Cricetulus griseus: one gene and its partners. The protein of the gene in region 1 interacts with the protein of each later gene in a biochemical or structural test. Links are inferred from orthologs where the notes say so. Each region holds a gene or a part of one and is shown in the gene's direction. Other genes may lie near its edges. The genes, in order: Rptor, Rps6kb1, Akt1s1 and Mapk1.

What was found.
Region 2: of the proteins of Rptor (region 1) and Rps6kb1, one has a biochemical effect on the other in vitro, tested with the Homo sapiens proteins (6 studies listed by BioGRID and IntAct, with this or other methods). The link is inferred for Cricetulus griseus from reciprocal best matches to the Homo sapiens genes RPTOR and RPS6KB1.
Region 3: the proteins of Rptor (region 1) and Akt1s1 interact in a biophysical measurement, tested with the Homo sapiens proteins (2 studies listed by BioGRID and IntAct, with this or other methods). The link is inferred for Cricetulus griseus from reciprocal best matches to the Homo sapiens genes RPTOR and AKT1S1.
Region 4: of the proteins of Rptor (region 1) and Mapk1, one has a biochemical effect on the other in vitro, tested with the Homo sapiens proteins (2 studies listed by BioGRID, with this or other methods). The link is inferred for Cricetulus griseus from reciprocal best matches to the Homo sapiens genes RPTOR and MAPK1.

Annotation. Positions count from the first base shown.
Region 1 is NC_048600.1:132,141,636-132,146,405, forward strand, and holds the start of Rptor (regulatory-associated protein of mTOR), read left to right. Parts: upstream 1-1,595; 5' UTR 1,596-1,816; coding exon 1,817-1,978; intron 1,979-4,770. UniProt on the Homo sapiens protein: Component of the mechanistic target of rapamycin complex 1 (mTORC1), an evolutionarily conserved central nutrient sensor that stimulates anabolic reactions and macromolecule biosynthesis to promote cellular biomass generation and growth.
Region 2 is NC_048600.1:99,765,705-99,769,956, reverse strand, and holds part of Rps6kb1 (ribosomal protein S6 kinase beta-1), read left to right. Parts: intron 1-1,205; coding exon 1,206-1,263; intron 1,264-1,452; exon of another isoform or gene 1,453-1,495; intron 1,496-1,595; exon of another isoform or gene 1,596-1,694; intron 1,695-1,857; coding exon of another isoform or gene 1,858-1,930; exon of another isoform or gene 1,931-2,104; intron 2,105-2,660; coding exon 2,661-2,761; intron 2,762-4,252. UniProt on the Homo sapiens protein: Serine/threonine-protein kinase that acts downstream of mTOR signaling in response to growth factors and nutrients to promote cell proliferation, cell growth and cell cycle progression.
Region 3 is NC_048599.1:153,689,715-153,694,488, forward strand, and holds the end of Akt1s1 (proline-rich AKT1 substrate 1), read left to right. Parts: intron 1-954; coding exon 955-1,340; intron 1,341-2,224; coding exon 2,225-2,302; intron 2,303-2,383; coding exon 2,384-2,553; intron 2,554-3,046; coding exon 3,047-3,190; 3' UTR 3,191-3,866; downstream 3,867-4,774. UniProt on the Homo sapiens protein: Negative regulator of the mechanistic target of rapamycin complex 1 (mTORC1), an evolutionarily conserved central nutrient sensor that stimulates anabolic reactions and macromolecule biosynthesis to promote cellular biomass generation and growth.
Region 4 is NC_048597.1:72,314,401-72,318,652, reverse strand, and holds part of Mapk1 (mitogen-activated protein kinase 1), read left to right. Parts: intron 1-2,538; coding exon 2,539-2,655; intron 2,656-4,252. UniProt on the Homo sapiens protein: Serine/threonine kinase which acts as an essential component of the MAP kinase signal transduction pathway. MAPK1/ERK2 and MAPK3/ERK1 are the 2 MAPKs which play an important role in the MAPK/ERK cascade.

The DNA of each region.
Region 1 (4,770 bases):
TAATATTCTTTAATCTTACCATCCAAACTTTACAGTCCAGAAACCTAAGACTGAGGTCACACAGCTTGAAACTGGTAACACTGACTCTAATAGAGGCTCCTCCAATGCCAAAGCCCAAGGCAGAGATGAGATGGGCGCCTTTGCCTGCCTGAACTGTAGCTAAAGGTTAAGAGTGTCTCAGTAAGCACCCTGGTTCTGCAAGGCTGACACCACATGTCATGTTTAATTTATATTCCCGTTGCACCATCATAGTTCTCAGGATATGTCAATAACAGATTTACTGAATTGGAAGAGAGCAGGTACTGCACGAGGCTTGCTTCAGTGAGCAGACAGCGGGAGCTTTAGTCATTTGTACACGAAGCTGTAGCAAGATAAGTATAAACTGCCCAGACAAAAGATAGATGAGACAAAAATTCATAATCAAAACTGGTGGTGGTGGCGCTCACCTTTAATCCCGATAGATAGGAGGAGCTCTGCGAGTTTGAGGTCAGCCTGGTCTACAGGGTGAGTTCCAGGACAGCCAGGACTGTGCTGCCACCACTGCGCCATCTTTCTCCTTTTAAAAATGGAAATATTAAAAAGAAAGTCCCACCGGACAGTGGTGGCACACGCCTTTAATGCCAGCACTCCGCAGGCAGAGGCAGGTGGATCTCTGCTCTGTGAGTTCGAGGCTAGCCTGGTCTCCAGAGCGATTCCCAGGACAGCCAGGGCTACACAGAGAGAAACCCTGTCTTGAAAAAACAAAAACCAAACCAAACAAAAAAGGACCCCAGTTTTATGTGTCTACTATCAATGGTTCTTTCTGATTTTTTTTTTTTTCTTAAACCACCTTTTAAAATCAGGACGAAACAGAGTGGCCTTTTACTTTAATATAAAGGACATGGCTGTGCTTGTAGTAGCAAAAGCTCTTAAAGATCTCCGAGCGGGCATGGCTTCAACGGCAGGATTGATTTTTGTAACACCAGTCCCGGGAGCCAACCGAGATCAGCTAAGGGGAAAGGACGTGGTAACCCCGGTAACGGAGTGGGGGGCGGGGAGGGCGGCACCCTGAGAGCTCGGCCCTCTTTCGGGTCGAGCGGCGAGAACGCTCGAAGAGGTTTGGCACATTGGACACGCCGTCGGCAGCGGTGCATGCTGGGTCCCGGGCAACATGGCGTCCTCCTTGACGTGCTGATGAGAGGAGTTTCACTGTTGCTCCAGAGCAGAGGGCAAAACTCCCCCGACCTCCTCAGCCCGCTTCTCCCGTGTGGCTCGCGGGCCCGTGTCGCGCGAGTCTCGGGCCTCGTTCCCGGGCAGGAGGGAGCCGCGAAGCCGAGGGCCGGCGCCGGCCAGGCCGCGGGGACCGGGGGCTGAGGAGCCGGCTGCGGGCGGGCGCGATGGGCCGGTCCCGCCTCAGGTTGCAGCCCCTCAGGCGAGTGCGGGACCCGCAGGGCTGAGCGCGGCGGCCTGAGCCCGAACCGCCGGAGCCCGACCCCGAGGCCTGTCCCGCGAGCGGGCGGCCTGCGGCCCCGGATCCGCCGAGAGCAGGGTCACCCCAGGCCCGAGCGCGCCGCCGAGCGGCCCGGCGCCCGGGCGCCCGCCCCGCCCGCCGCCCCCTCCGACCGACTTCCCGCCCGGAGTTGGCGATCCCGAGCGAGAGCCCCTCCTTGGAACCCCCTCCCGCGCCTCCCGCCCGCGCCCCGGCTCCGCGCACCCCGGCTCCGCGCACCCCGGCTCCCCGCCGCCGAGTCTGGCCCCTCGGCTTGGGCCCCACGAGCTGTTCAGGCTGGAGGTCCTTGAGCGCTTGCTGCCCCGGACCCCCCTCCCCCTCCCCCCGATGGAGGCGGAGATGCTGCCGTCGCCTCTGGTGGGACTCGGGGAGGACGAGGAGGCCGACGTGACAGACTGGAACCTGCCTCTGGCTTTTATGAAGAAGAGACACTGCGAGAAAATTGAAGGCTCCAAGTCTTTAGCGCAGAGCTGGAGAATGAAGGATCGGGTAAGTGGTCCCCATGGCATCCGCCTCCCGGACCTGGAAAGTTTCTCAGAGTCACAAAGTCCTGAGCAAGGACAGCTTCTTGGGGGTGGGGTGGGGGGGTGGTAGTATCTGGAAGCCACGTGCGGCATGTTAAACTAAAACCCAGCAGCTGCTCCAGACTCCGGTTTTGGTTGAACGTAGATGTACGTGGCTGGTATGGCCAAGAGGTTACTTCGTGAATTCAGATGAAGTTTTTAATTCAGGGAAAAAAAATCAAATTAAGAGCTAATTGTACCGCAGATGCTTATGTGTCTTTTAATATACTTAGTAACACTTAGAGGAAAGACAGTTTGGGAAATAAGACATGAACCCGCGCAATTAGTCTGCTTTTGTGGTCTGGTTTTTGAAATAGCCAGGACAGCTGTCTGGTGCAAAGTGCCAGGAAACAGGGTACTTGACAAGGTAGTTGCAGCGCGCTCCATCCCAGTCCTACAAACGGTTTGTTTGGAAGCGTGACTCCCCGTGTATGTGACTTCTTGCTGCTGTGTCTTCAGTGGAAGAGACTCTCCCCAGAGGTTGGAACTTGGGTTCAGGTTCTAGGCAGCTCTCATGGTGTTGGAGTGTCATGAGACAGCTTCAGCTCTGCTGAGCTCGTCTTTCCACCCTCTAATAGTCTAACAAAAGGGGGGCACTCTCAGTTTGCCTTTACTGTTTACTCCTGCCAGGCTTCTTTGATTCCTGTGAACTTTTCAGTATAAAAGAGGAAATTGCTGTTGTCACGCATCATTTGTTTATAGTTTATGTGTATTTTTACAGGAGGCGGTTGTTTTAAAAAGGTGCATGATGTCAAACACTTAACATAGTTCTAGAAGTAACCAATGTTTTGGTTATTGATTGGGTTGAATTTTAGGTTATAAAAATTCAATCAAGCTGGGCGGTGGTGGCGCAGGCCTGTAATCCCAGCACTCGGGTGGCAGAGGCAGGCAGGTCTCTGTGAGTTCGAGGCCAGCCTGGTCTACAGAGTGAGTTCCAGGACAACCTCCAAAGCAATACAGAGAAACCCTGTCTCAAAAAAACAAACAAACAAACAAACAACAAACAAACAAAAGTTCATTCAAAAGCAGTTTAGATTGGGCATGTTTGACACTCTGCAGGCTAAAGCAGGAGTGTCACAGTCAGTTCCAGGCTAGCCTGTACTACTGAGTGTAAACCTTGTGGCAAAGAAGAACAATACAGATAATAAACTGATGGTTTAGAGAGATTGCATAAAAAGCCCGTTTTATGGACATAACTAGTAACTTGGGTTACTAGTTATGACGAGATAACTAGTTATGACGAGATAATGTTTTGGTTGCAATGCATATATAAAATTTGTTTTAAAGCAACTCTTTTTTTAAATTCTAGGTGAAGTTTTCACTTAAATTTTTTTCTGTTCTTTAGAAATGTGGTTTCTGTTGCCCCCTAAACCTGCACTTAAACTGATGTGTATGTAACCTTGGCTGTCCTGGAACTCGCTCTGTAGACCAGGCTGGCCTCGAACTCACAGAGATCCACCTGCCTGTGCCTCCTGGTGCTGGGATTAAAGGCGTGTGGCCCTACCACCACCACCACCACTAGGCTGCACTTTAATGTAGGCATTACTTTTTAATTTCTTTTTTTTTTTTTATTTTTGAGGCTGGGTTTCTCGTAGTCCAGGCTGGCTTGCCATGTTGTCAGGAATGACCCTGAGTTTCTGATCCTGGGGTGGGGTGTGCACCATCATGTCAAGTTTTATTGGTGCTGGGAATCAAGCTCAAGAGTTATGTGCGTGCAGGCAAACCCCTATTGTTGTTGTTGTTGTTGTTATTATTATTATTATTATTATTATTATTATTATTATTGATTTTTCGAGACAGGGTTTCTCTGTGTAGCTTTGAGGACCAGGCTGACCTCGAACTCAGATCCACCTAACTCTGCCTCCCGAGTGCTGGGATCAAAGGTGTGCGCCACCACTGGGGGCAGAACACCTATCATTAAAGTGTGTGTGTGTTTGTTTTGCTGGGTGGTGACCTTTAATCCCAGCATCTTGGAGGCAGAGGCAGGCCAGTTTCTGTGTTTGAGACCTGCCTGGTCTACAGGGAAACCTGCCTGGGGTGGGGGTGGGGGGAATGTAAGTTCTTAGTAACTCCTGACTTGCTACTTAGAAGATCAGGGAAGAAAGTTTGCTGCCTCTGGCCTTTTCAAATTGTTCAGTGAAGAGGAAAATTGTCAGCTGACATTTTCAGTAAGTTTGTGAGACTTGGTGTCACAGGGTCTCCTGAATAGAGGCTGCAAGATTGAATGGCCACACGAGTTGGAAGGTGTTGTGAATGAACGAAACTGGGCAGGTTAGGAGAGTGTCTCATGCTTAAAGACAGATGCCACAGGTTGGCTGACTTAGTGTCTGGTGCCTTTTCTGGAAGGATGTGTTCATTGATGAGGCACTTGGGCCTCAGTGAGCTCTTTCCTGTAAGCCAGAAAGTCTGTTTATTTGAGATGGCCCTTGTGTCATGGTTGTGGCTGCTGCCTTGGTACTTGCTGCATAACCCAGGCTGGCACCAAGCTTGCAGCAGTCTTCTTGCTTTAGTCTCCTGGAATGCTAGTTATTACAGATGTGCATCACCAGGGCCAGCTTTTCTTTTTTTCTTTTTCTAAGATTTGTTTATTTGTTTATGTGTTTTTATATATGTGAGGGCTCTATCTGCATGTCTGCCTGCAGGCCAGATGAGGGCATCAGATCCCATTATAGATGGTGTGAGTCACCATGTGGTTGCTGGGAATTGAACTCAGGTCCT
Region 2 (4,252 bases), about 32 Mb from region 1:
TACATTGTGACTTATTTCATAATTTCAAATTTATATAGAAGACTTTAGGAGTTGTACAAGGGTTCTGTGGAGCTTCCGCACCCCTTACCTAGATCTCCCGCACTCTGTCATCTCATGTGCTTGTCCTCCCCTTCATGCACACGCATGTGTGTACATACGTAGGCACACGTATGCAGTCAACATTTTTTTATGCTATTCAAAGATTTTTACAACTCAAATGCTAGCATTTACTTCCTAAACTCAAGGACATTTTCTTATGTAACTAGAATTATAAAATAATTTGGAAATTAATATTAATATAATGTCTTTTAGTTTTCTTTACTTTGGAGCAGTTCTTAAATCTCTCTGTCATTATGCTGACATTTTTAAAAAGAATATATCCCAGTTTCTATAGAATGCCTTCAATTTGGGTTTATTTGATATTTCTTTGGGAGTAGATTCAGGTTATGCATTTTTGATGGGACTGTCCAAGCGACATTGTATTCCTTCTTAGCAGTTCAGAACAGGAGGTACATGGTATTGAGATCTTTGTCCCACTGCTGTTGATGTTTGTTGTGGTCACATGTGTAAGGTGGTGTCTGTCAGGTTTCCCCTCTGGAATTAATAAGCATCTCCTGAGGAGATGCTTTGGGATTACTTGAGTATCTCATCTCATCAGGCTTTTCAGGTCCAGTTTTGGCATCCATTGATTCTTGACTGCAACAGTTAATGTGGTGTTTGCCAAGTGATTTTTCTTACTCCATCATGCCACTTTTACTTATACAGAGCTTTTCTTTCTCCATTGAAAACTTTATCTGTTCATTTATTTTTATCATTATAGGTTCCTGGATTTTAAGATAACTCAGGACAGTATAAACCTTTATTATAATTTACTTTGATACTCAAATTATGCCACTGTCAGGTTCATTCAGTTTATATAAAGGTTCTGATAATGGGGAACAGTTACATTCACTAAAATTTGGGTGAATTAATTATGTACTTTTTTTTTTTTTTTTTTTTACATATCCAAAAGGTGCTAGAAAGACTTCAGTCAAGACTTTTAAACCTTAGGTCTGAAATCTGTATGTATTTTGAAGTTTGCATGTATAAAAACTGGAATTACAAGCCAGTTTTTAAGGAGTTAATCTTATATGTAGAAGAAAGTACAAACTCATTAGAAGAGGGTTGAAGTAAAGATATTTATTACTAATACTTTTCCTTTATAGGAGGAGAACTATTTATGCAGTTAGAAAGAGAGGGAATATTCATGGAAGACACAGCTTGGTAAGTAAAATTTTTGTGGTTGTATGGATTCAGGTAATGTTTCATATAATTAAAAGCAAAACTACATTCCCACTGTGGGCAGCCACACTATTCAATAAGTTGATCTGGAGCCAGTCAGTCACTCAGAAGTCAAGGGGGAACTTTGGGACTGGGCAGCTATTGGAGGTCACGTGATTCCTTTGCCCCCAGGCCTTGGGTGGACCGCTCTTCACTGCAGAATTTCCTTGAATTGGTAAGCTGCTTGTCTTGGTTGTGGGTGAGTGTGGTTTTCCAGTGAAATCTTGTATGTGGAGCAATGGAAAGTATCAGAAATCATCTCCTCTTTTTTTTAGACTTTCCAGTTCCCAAGGTGCAGTCTTAGGGAGGTGATAAACCTGAATACACATCTGTGGATTGATTTTATAGCCAGGATGGGATCTGCCCTCCTATTCGTAAGATGGCATCTACTTCAAATTAAAAATATACACATCCTTTTGTGAAGTGACCGTATTGGGTAACAGTAAATCAGTTTGACATACACATTAATTGAATAGAAAACACTTAAATGTTTTTTCTATCTTAATTACCAAACTGCATTCCATTGTTTAATTTCAGGCCTTTTCTAACACAGAAGCTGCATTTAAGAGCCTTAGGGATGAAGTGCCCTTTTTTGGAGAAGGCTCTCTGAGCCCTGTTGGAGGCTGTGGTCCTGCTGGCTGTGAAACTGCCTCAGTCCTCTAGGACACACCCTCTCCATCCTGGAGTAATCTGCAGGATTGCAACATTGTTACACAGCCAGTATTGCAGTGCTTTGTGCTTTTCGAATCCAGACAGGGGTGATTCAGCCCTTTATTCTTTTGAGGTAGATAAATTTGAGTGTCACACAGTTTATATATAGTTGTGGGCTGGCTGGCAAGAGGGTGGGCAGATACTGTGGGCGTTGCTGTCTATAAATACACAGCTATATTATGTAAGGGATGAGTGGGCTTCCACAGGTCAGGCTATATGGATCAAGACTTGATTTCTGAGAATAAGAAAGTCCCTATTTCCTGTGGAATCTTAAAGTTGGGGGAGGGTGGGAGGAATTTGTTTGATCTGAATGACTGTTGGCCTAATTCCTACACACAGAGAGCAGAACCTAATCAATAATAGTTAGAATAGACAGGACAATTTGCAATTTTAGCAGTATGTTCTAATGGAAAAATAAAACATGGTATAGTTTGACTAAAATGAGTGACAAATGTCCCTCGGCATTGTAGCATCATCCTGTGCCATCTTTTTTTTCCCAGTACATTCTTCCACCCCCACTAATTTGGTCTTTGGTGCATGTCTGTTTCTTTCAAGGAATTTTATTCCATACATAAACTGCTTTGGATAGATTGCTTTTTAAATTTTTATTAAATCACTTCTGTTTCCAGCTTTTACTTGGCTGAAATCTCCATGGCTTTGGGGCATTTACATCAAAAGGGGATCATCTACAGAGACCTGAAGCCGGAGAACATCATGCTCAATCACCAAGGTGGAGCTTTGCCATGAACAGTTCCATAGTAAATAATCTGCTGTCAGTCAGTCCACACAGGTCATGGCCCTTTGCAAGCCTCCTCCCCCCCCCCCTCTGTTGCATATTTCTTCCTCAGAATATGTAACATCGTAAGACTTACTCGTACTTAAAAGTATTTGGTATTTATAACTGAGCCTAAAGAGAGTTAAAGATATTAGCTATTCTTTACAACTTGAAAAAAAAATCTTATATAAAATGTTGTGTCACCAAAGCCAATTCAGATGTTAATTTTGATTTATGCTTTTTTTTTTTGGTTTTTCGAGACAGGGTTTCTCTGTGTAGCTTTGGAGCCTATCCTGGCACTCGCTCTGGAGACCAGGCTGGCCTCGAACTCGCAGAGATCTGCCTGCCTCTACCTCCCGAGTGCTGGGTCTAAAGGCATGCGCCACCAACACCTGGCTTATGCCATTGATTTTTAAAGACAAAAAATGCATAAGTAGTAGAAGCAAAATTTTTTTGTTTTAGACATGGTCTTGCTGTATAGCTGACTGGCACTGAACTTAGGTAGGGTCTTCCTGCTTCAATGTCCCAAGTGTTGGGATTATACATATATGCCACCACCATGCATGTGAAAACAAATTTTTTTATAGTTTTACCTAATGTTTGAGGAAGAAAAAGACTAAAATTGAACCAGATTATTTGATACAGCCCTAGTACAAAATTGTTAATAGGCATAGGTTAATCAGAGAAACTAATATGTTGTACAGTTGCAAAGTGAGTGTTGGCAGCAGCTGCATGTGCTTGCAGCTCCATTTCTGCTGCTGTAGTCTGAACTGGGAAGATTGCAGTTTACTCAAGGAACAAACTAGAAGACGAAGGCATCTTCAAGCTGTGAACAGTTAAGGATCCTTCGCTCTTGATAGAATGACCCTAATTGTCATGAGATAATTAACCAATGTAAACACTTAGGCAGAAAATGGTGGGGCTTATATAAATGTTCTAAATAGTACTTAAAAAAAAAAATGTTTGTAGGGCTGCAGAGATGGCTCAGAGGTTAAGAGCACTGGCTGCTCTTCCAGAGGTTCTGAGTTCAATTGCCAGGAACCACTTGGTGGTTCACAACCATCTGTAATGAGATCTGGTGCCCTCTTCTGGCCTGCAGGGATACATGCAGACAGAACACTGTATACATAACAAATAAATAAATCTTAAAAAAAAAAAAAAAAAAAAAAAGGTTTGTGAGGGACCAGAGAGATGGCTTAGTGGTTAAGAGCATTTGCTGTTCTTGCAAAGTATCTGGGTTTAATTCCCAGTAACCACATGGTGGCTTATAATGTCTGTCCGTGGATTCTGGAACTGGTTTTTACTGGCACCAGGCACATGTGTAGTGTATATATATATACATGTAGGCAAAACATTCATACATTTGAAATTAAAGAAAAAACAAAACTTGTTTTTTTAATGGAAAAATGATAAAATTGACAAAGTACATTATGGGAACCATGTCTG
Region 3 (4,774 bases), on another chromosome or scaffold:
GAAGGCCAATGAGCTGAGTGTGGGATACATCTGATCCTAAAAACTCTAGAGGGCAGGGTTCCACTGCACTGAAAGAGGCCTGCTGGACCAAGTGAAAGATGGTGGCCTGGCAGTGGCCTGCGTGTTGTGCTACAGAAACCATCAAAGTCACCTGTGGTTTTCATTGAGACCAGTCTGTGTCTGAGGCTGACCTCAAAGCCATGACAGTCTTGCCTCAGCCTCTGAGTGTTGGGATTTCAGGTGTATGCCACCATGCCTGGCTCAAATGTGTATTAACATCCTACATGCCATGGAAAAAGGTGCACATGATATTCATGTGAGTCTTCAAAGACTTTGATCAGGCTGGCTGTGTGGTACTTCACACCTTTAATTCCAGCTACTTGGGTAGCAGAGGAGGGAGGATTGCTAAGGCTACCTGCCAGCCCTGTCTTAAAAAGTACACAGGCTTTGATGCAGCTTAGTTGGTGCTTGCCAGCACTCATGAAGTTCTGGGTTTAGTTCTCAGCACCACATAAACCAGGTGTGTGGTGTGCATGTGTAACCCCAGCACTCAGGCATTGGATACATGAGAATCAGGACTTCAAAGTCACCTTTGTCCACGTAGTGAATTTGTGGCCAACCACCAATTTCAGACCCTGTCTGAAAAAATAGGAAGAACCCAAACTGAAATAACCATAAACTAGCTTGGCTACAGTGCCCATGACCAACAAAGATGAAGACTCAAGACTTTGGCTCCTGTTTGGAACAGGATGGGGCCAAGATGAAACCTAGGGCTGGACTTGATGGTGGCTAATATAGGTCCCAGAGGAAGCCTACTTGGGAAAGGGGTGGAGCTCAGCTGGGGCGCATGCATGCTGTGGGAGGGGAGTTACATTGGGGCAGTCAACCCTCATGGTTGGTAGCGACAGTAGCAGCAGCGCCGCCTCAGCCCCTCTGTCCTGCTCTGGCCCACAGGGCGCGGATGGCGTCTGGGCGGCCGGAGGAACTGTGGGATGCGGTCGTGGGGGCCGCCGAGCGCTTCCGGGCCCGTACTGGCACAGAGCTGGTGTTGCTGACTGCAGCGCCACCGCCGCCACCTCGCCCAGGGCCCTGTGCCTATGCCGCCCATGGCCGCGGGGCCCTGGCAGAGGCCGCCCGCCGCTGCCTCCACGACATCGCACAGGCACACAGGGCTGCTACTGCCACCCGGCCTGGCCCCCCACCAGCACCACAGCCGCCCAGCCCTGCTTCTAGCCCTCCACATCAACCAGCCCTGGCCAAGGATGATGATGAGGAAGATGAGGACGAGCCCACTGAGACAGAGACCTCTGGGGAGCGGCTGGGCGGTAGTGATAATGGAGGTGAGCTGGTGGGGTTGGTGCTGGGATGGGGTTGCTGGTTGTCCTAATGCATCCTTATGACAGTACTCCCTAGCAGCCACACACAAGGTCCAACAGCACATAACACGATATGTTGAACAAACGGCTTCCTTGAGGGCTTCTGGTCTGGCCAAGGAACTAGAGCATGGTTCTCTGAGAGATGCAGGTGTCTCTGGAAAGAAAGCGTAGCGGCTGCTGGCCCATTCGTGAAGGGTGGAGAAGTTTGCAGGGGGGGGGGGTACTGCGACAGCAGAGGAAGCCAGGAGGTTCCAGGCACCCTTTCTTTACGTGATGTTGGGCTCAGGCATCTCCCATGCCCCATGGAATCCACATTGGGCAGCTGGATTTAGAGACTGTATTGTAACCGCAGGGCTTTGAGGGTATAGGAATTACTTATTTGCTATCAATGCTTACTGCTGGTCACCTCATCCTTCCTGAGAAAGCCAGTATGTCATGAAGAGTATGGGCTCTGGAGCCAGTGGTATGGCCAAAGAGTCTTTCATTTCTCCCTACCAGACCACCTTTTTTTTTTTTTTTCTTTTTTTAAAAACTACTTTGGGTTACATTGTCCCAAGCAGATCTTAAAAGAGGTTTCAGGCCGGGCGTTGGTGGCGCACGCCTTTAATCCCAGCACTCGGGAGGCAGAGGCAGGTGGATCTCTGTGAGTTCGAGGCCAGCCTGGTCTCCAGAGCGAGTGCCAGGATAGGCTCCAAAGCTACACAGAGAAACCCTGTCTCGAAAAACCAAAAAAAAAAAGAAAAAAGAAAAAAAGTTCCATGTTGAAGATAGTAGTGGGCTCCTGATATGGAAGGGGCCTGAGTAACCAGACAGCAAATGAAGAATGTTGAGGCCTGTCCCACCCACAGGACTCTTCATGATGGATGAGGATGCCACTCTGCAGGACCTGCCCCCCTTCTGCGAGTCAGACCCGGAGAGCACAGATGGTGAGGATCCTGGGTTGTCCAAGCCTTAGGAGGCCAGGCCAGGGGTAGAGGGACAGAAGCTGAAGCCTCCCTGTATCACAGACGGCAGCTTGAGTGAGGAGACCCCCGCCGGTCCCCCAGCGTGCCCCAAGCCGCCAGCCTCAGCCCTGCCCACCCAGCAGTACGCTAAGTCTCTACCAGTGTCAGTGCCAGTGTGGGCCTTCAAGGAGAAGAGGACAGAAGCGCGATCGTCAGATGAGGAAAACGGCCCGGTGAGGGGGGGGGGGCGAGACAGGTGGGATGGGCCAGAGTGGCCTGCTGCAGGGAGCCCCCTGCCTTGGCTAATGTGGCTCTCTTCTCAATCCCAAGACCCCACTGTGCTTTAGGAAGAAGGCCCCTTGTCTGTCCAAAATAGTTTTTTTTTTTTGGGGGGGGGGGTCAGATAGGCAAACAGGCTCAGGGTCAGATTAGCTCCCAAGATTCCTTTCTCCCAACACCATTCCGTGTGTGTGGCCCTCTCAGGCTGTGCTGGCCTGATCCTTCCTTCACAGAAAACTCCCTGAGGCAGAGGGGAAAACAAGACACTGAGGGGAACACATAACTTCCTCCAGCCTCCCAGGACCAGGTCCCTCCCCGTATGACGCCCCGCGGGGTTCAAGCCCATAGCCTGTGGGACAATCCGGGCAAGAGGGTTTCTGGGAGGCTGGGAGGCGGCACCTGCCCTGCCCGCTGCCCTGCGCCACTGAGCGTTTCCTCCCTTCGCAGCCCTCTTCGCCCGACCTGGACCGAATCGCCGCTAGCATGCGGGCATTGGTGCTGCGGGAGGCCGAGGACACCCAGGTCTTCGGAGACCTGCCGCGGCCGCGGCTCAACACCAGCGATTTCCAGAAGCTGAAGCGGAAATACTGAGCGGCCGGAGAAAGGCCATTGGGTTTTCGAGCCTTGCTCTGCCCAGCAACAAGACAATTCTTTACGGGATTGGCTCGCTCCGGTTTGGAGTAGGGCTAGTTCTAAAACGCTCAGTGGGTCAACTCCAACTCCGTTTCTTGCCTAGCAACAGAAGCTTTACCCGCATATCCTGGGCTCCTGCCCAAGAGCGGAGCCCAGCGGCGGGACCAGGTGGTGGCTCCGCCCAAGTCCGGAGAGTCGCAGGCCGCCCTTCTTGAACTCCCCATCCCATTGGCCCTGGCCTCCTGGGGGTGTGGCCAAGCCCTCCGGAACCCAGAACTGGTCAGAGGCCTTGAGTTTGTTACACTACTAGGGCTGGGTTTTGTTTTTGTTTTTGCCTGACACTTGTATCCGGTTCCCCACGGGGATAGTCGGGGCCTGCTTTTTTGCGTCTGACGCCCCCATAGGTTCCACCCAACTACTGCCTGTCCATCAAAGTCTGTCCTGCACCCAGGACGGTACCAGCTTCCTGCCCCCGACCCCCTCTCCCCCACGACCCAAACAGGTGCCTTAAAGGGCCCTCTCCCACCCATGGGAGGGGGCCCCACTCTCCGGCCCTGGCCCTGGGTGCGGGAGAGTAGGGTGGGGGCCAGGAGTCGGGAGGGGCGCTCTGAGATTAAAGTTCAACTCTAGTGAGTGTGTGGTATTTACTGTGTGAGTGTTACTCTGAGGCTCTCCTGCAAATAAAAAGTTCGGGGTTTGAGACAGCATTCTGTGACAGGTGAAAAATCTGGTTTTCAGAAGCATGATGGTGGAAGTGGGTGGAAAGCCAGGCTGGGAACCTCCATCTCCCACTGTTCGAAGGGCAGGGGTGAGGGTGGGCTGTTTGTCACCTTCAAACTAGTCATATGGGTCGCCTCCCTTTTATTTTTCCTTTTTTTTTTTTTTTTTATTATGTATACACTGTTCTGCCTGCATGTATCCCTGCAGGCCAGAGAGGGCACCAGACTACATTACAGATGGTTGTGAGCCACCATGTGGTTGCTGGGAATTGAACTCAGGACCTCTGGAAGAGCAGCCAGTGCTCTTAACCTCTGAGCTATCCCTCCAGCCTCTTATTTTTCCTTTTGAGACAGTTTCACTTTGTGGCCTGTACTGCATCCTTAATCTTTGGGCAGTATTTCCCATCTACCCCGTCATGCTCAGCTTTAGTGTATTTGCCCCACGAGGTGGGAGTGATCATTCCGTTTTACAGCAGAGAACCCAGCATCATCGAACAAAGGAAGAGTGTGAAGGGGCCACAGGCTTCCAATGCTAGGGACAAATGCTGGTTTCCTTTGCTGTCTCAGAGGAGTGAAGGCCAGCCCCGTGGCGCACATCTGCCATTCAAGCAACAGGGAGATGGGTTTAGTAGTCACAGGAGTTAACATCAATTCTGCCTCAAAGAACAAACCAAAGCCAGGCATAGTAGCACACACTTTTAATCCCAGCACTTGGGAGGCAGAAGCAGGCGGAAGTGTTTTGAGGTCAGCCTGGTCTGCCAAGCAAGTTCCAGGATACCAGGGCTACACAGAGAAACACCTTATCCCCCCCAAAAAAAAAAAA
Region 4 (4,252 bases), on another chromosome or scaffold:
ATACAGTGGGTTTATAGTTGACAGCATTAGGGGAAACAGTACTGATTTGTTAAAAAAAAAAATTTTTTTTGTTATTGATCTAAGGTTGCATAACCCTGTGACTGTAATATTAAAAACTATAGCATTATATACTTTAACTATGTGCATATATCTCAGTAAAGAAACTTTAAAAAGTATATGTAGATGTGTAGGAATAATTTCTTGAGTTTTCAGTTAAGTGAACATTTCTTTGTGAAGCTTTGTTAGGTATGCCAAGCCAAGAAGATGAATGTCTGCCCTTGAAAGTGGAAAACCTGAATTTGATCCCTGTATTGAACAATGAGATGACCAATTCCTAAATGTTACCTTCTGACCTCTGTACACACACCATGTCACTGACACATCTACATTTAAATATATAATAAAAATAACTAAAATTTATAGTCTTAGCTGAGCTAGAAATGTATCTCACTGGCAGAGTGCTTTGATAGCATATGACCATCAGGGTTGTAGCCTCATTGGCAAGCAAGTTGTCTTTCAAAGGAGGCTCAGGGTCATTATGAGGGTTTGTAAACCAAGTGGAGAGGCTAGAGACGACGATGCATTGTGGAGAACCTCAGGAGTTCCTCTCTCTCCCCTGCGTGAGAACCCACATGGGAAGTAGCCTGCAGGAGAGTTAGTGAAGAAGAGGGTGCTCTGCCCACTTCTTTTGACAACACAGTGACATTCTACAGAACAAGTGTGCAGCTCTTTGAGAACAAAGGTGTTGCTCTGCTGCCAGGCCTGCACAGTGAGCTGGAGAAAGATACTTGAATGGTGGCAGGGAGTCTTTCTTTGTCTGTCTTTCTCAGTTACCCTCTGGGATTACTAAACAAATAGAGGTCCAAATAACTATGTCCTGTATCTGTTAGACTTATTCTTTCTTTGTTGTCCTACTCTTATGGCCAAAGTTTAAGCCCTTGGTTTTTTGATTTCTCTTTCTCTCAGTAAACTTGTTTTATTGGGTCTCAATTCTGTGGCAGAATTTTGGTCAAATTGTTTTCATTAAAATGGACTAATTTTGAAAACTAATAAATTTTAAAATCACACACACACACACACACACACACACAATGGTCCACAAAAAACAGTGGCCGTTTGGCTGGAGAGATGGCTCAGTGGTTACGAGCACTGCCTACTCTTCCAAAATTCCTGGGTTCAATTCCCACATGGTGGCTCCCAATCATCTGTAGTGAAATCTGGTGCCCTCTTCTGACCTACAGACATACATGCAGGCAGAACACTGTATACATAATAAATAAATAAATCTTTAAAAAAAAAAATCACCGTTTCTCCTGGAGGTTTTCCGATGCATTGTTATCATTAACCAGTCTTTTACTGTTGAACTTAAGTGCCGGACCTTGATTTTCAGCTGACTTAGGACAGTGAAGCCTCCATATTGATTTGTCTTCCAAATGGCCTTCTACTGTACTGTGTTCCATCTCTTAAGCTGTCTCTTTCTTGCATTGGTTTCCTGGAGACCAGAGATTATTTTCACTTATATGTAAAATTGACCTAAGTATTTAATATACACTGGAGTCTGTAAGGCAGCTGACCCAAGTAGCATCACAGTATTAAGACAGCTAGATGGTAAGAGTCCTGGGATTCAGAATGTGAGAAACTAGGTGCCACACACAGCAATGGTGGATGACAGTGATAAAGCCAGATGACCTGAGTTTAATACCTGGAACCCACATAATAGAAGGAGAGAGTCAACTTCTTCTGAAAGTCATCCTCCTGACCACCACACACACACACATATACAATACATGAATGAACTTCAGAACAAATGGTTTATCTTCAGTACATGAAAGCTTTAAAACTATCAGGATTGGCTATGTGAAAAGTAGGGAAGTGAGAAGAATTTTTGGAAGTAAAAACAAAACATTAGTTCTAGAGTAAATGGAAAACTGGCCAGAAATAGGAGTCTGAGAAATAGGACAGGGCAGACAGATTAAGGAGCAGACCACCAGTGATTCTTCGAGCCACAATTGCATGGAGAGGTAAAGGGCTCTGGGTTTGGTGATTTTTATCCTAACAGTTTTGTTTTTAAGGTTTAATTTTATTTCTATGTTTGTTTATATGTCTGTACATCGTAGTATGTCAGTGCCCAAGGAGGCCAGAAGAGAGTGTCAGATCACTTGGAATTTATAGGCAATTGTGAGTCACTCAATGTGGATATTGGTGATTACTCGGGTCCTCTGAGAGAGAAGTCTGTGCTTTTTTCACTGTTGAAATGCACAGCTCTCCAGCCCGACTAAGATAGTTTTTCTCAAATCACCTGAGTGAGTGCTGTGCACTTAATGACTGATGGTGGTGGGATGTAAACATGGTTGTCAGGTTGTGCCTGTTTCCTTACCTCCAACATAAGGTCTGTCATCACTTGAGAATGATGAGCTTGTACTAGAAAGGTGTCTAGTGTAGTATTGGTAGCATACGCTTGTAATCTTTGGTGTTGCAATTGCCTTTTTTATTTTCATAGTGTATCTCTAAGAAGGTGTCCACATTTTTTCCCCTTAGATCTGTGACTTTGGCCTTGCCCGTGTTGCAGATCCGGATCATGATCACACAGGGTTCTTGACAGAGTACGTAGCCACACGTTGGTACAGAGCTCCAGAAATTATGTTGAATTCCAAGGTAAGAAAAAGAAACAATAGCTGTAAACCTTGGTCTCCATCCTTCAGTCTGGTATATCTGGCCAGAGCCAGAGTGCTATCTTTTTCTCAGAATTGAACTTTTGGGCCTTAGGGTTTACTATCTTGAGTCATGGTGACCATAAATGTCTGTATCCACCCTTGTCTGTAGTCCTAAGGCACTAGGTGTAGAAAAAATAGAAACCACTATGGACTCTTGAAATTACAGGGTAGACATGTTTCAAAATGAAATCCTTCCTCCTTTTCACTAGATTTTTGTGAAGAGTGTATCCTGGTCATCCAAACTCTGCCAGCAAAACCTGGTCTTTAATCCCAAAACTCAGGAGGTAGAGGCAGGCTGCACTCTGTTAGTTCAAGGTCAGTCTGGTCTCCAAAGCAAATTCTAGGACAGCCAGCGCTACACAGAGAAAAATAAAACAAAACAAAAACCCAACAATCTGGATTGTGGTAATATGTGGTACATACCTTTGATCCTGGCATTCAGGAGGTAGGGGCAAGCAGATCTTTATGATTCTGCATAGCAAGTTCTAGGGCAACTCAGGCTATGAAGAGAGAGACCTTCTCTCAAACAGCAGGAAAAGGAGCAATTGGGTGCCGGGCGAAGCAGGCAGACATAATCCCAGCACTATGGAGCAAAGGTAGGAGCGTTGCCACAAGTTTAAGGCCAGTCTGGGCTGTTATGAAGCATGAATTCTGTGTTAGAACTATAAGCCAGTTAGCAAAATTGAGGACTGCTCAGGACATTGAGCTTCCATTTGGGTTTGCTGGGTTTTTTTTTTTGTTTGTTTGTTTTGTTTTGTTTTTTCTGGTAGGCATTTTGGTTTTGTTGTTGTGTGTCTGTGTGGGTTTATGCATTGCATCCTCGGGAGCTGGAATTGCAGGCAGTGATGTGAGCTACCCACTGTGACTGTGAACAGCATATGACCTGCTCTAACCCACGCTATCTATGAGGAATGTAGCGCTGTCTTAGGACTTGACTTTTATGCCATGTCTTTAATGTGCATGCACAGAAACAGTACTAACTTGAGCATATTAGAAGGCAAGGCTATTCGTGCTGATGGTGGGTGATGCTCATGTGCAATTTCTAGGTCATTCCAGAACACTGCAGATAAGAGTAATTGGAGGGAAAATAGTTTGACTGTGAAATTTTCTTTTCATCAAACTCTCAAATGTTTCTCTTACTCTTGGTGGTAACATAACCATCTTTCCTTTTGTGTTTTAGTGTTCTCTATTATTTGTTCTCAAGTTATATTGTACTCTGAATGGGATGTAGACCTCTCCCTCCCCAGCAGCTTTGGACAGCAGCTGCTCCAAGACTGTCTTCTATATATAGTCCCTGTCCCAGACCTAGAACAGCCATTCTCCCAGGAGGCCCCAATTGCTCATAATATATCTGTGTTATTGTTTGGGTTTTTCATTGTTCCCATTACTTAGGTTGGCCCAGAGCAACAGGTATTTTAGATTACAAAAGTTTTAGAAAGAATTCTACCTAGTGTATTGTTACTGCAGGACCTACTGGCTCCTCTAGTTTCCCAAATCAGCTCACTCTTCAATTTTACTAGTTGACTGCTGTTTTCTTG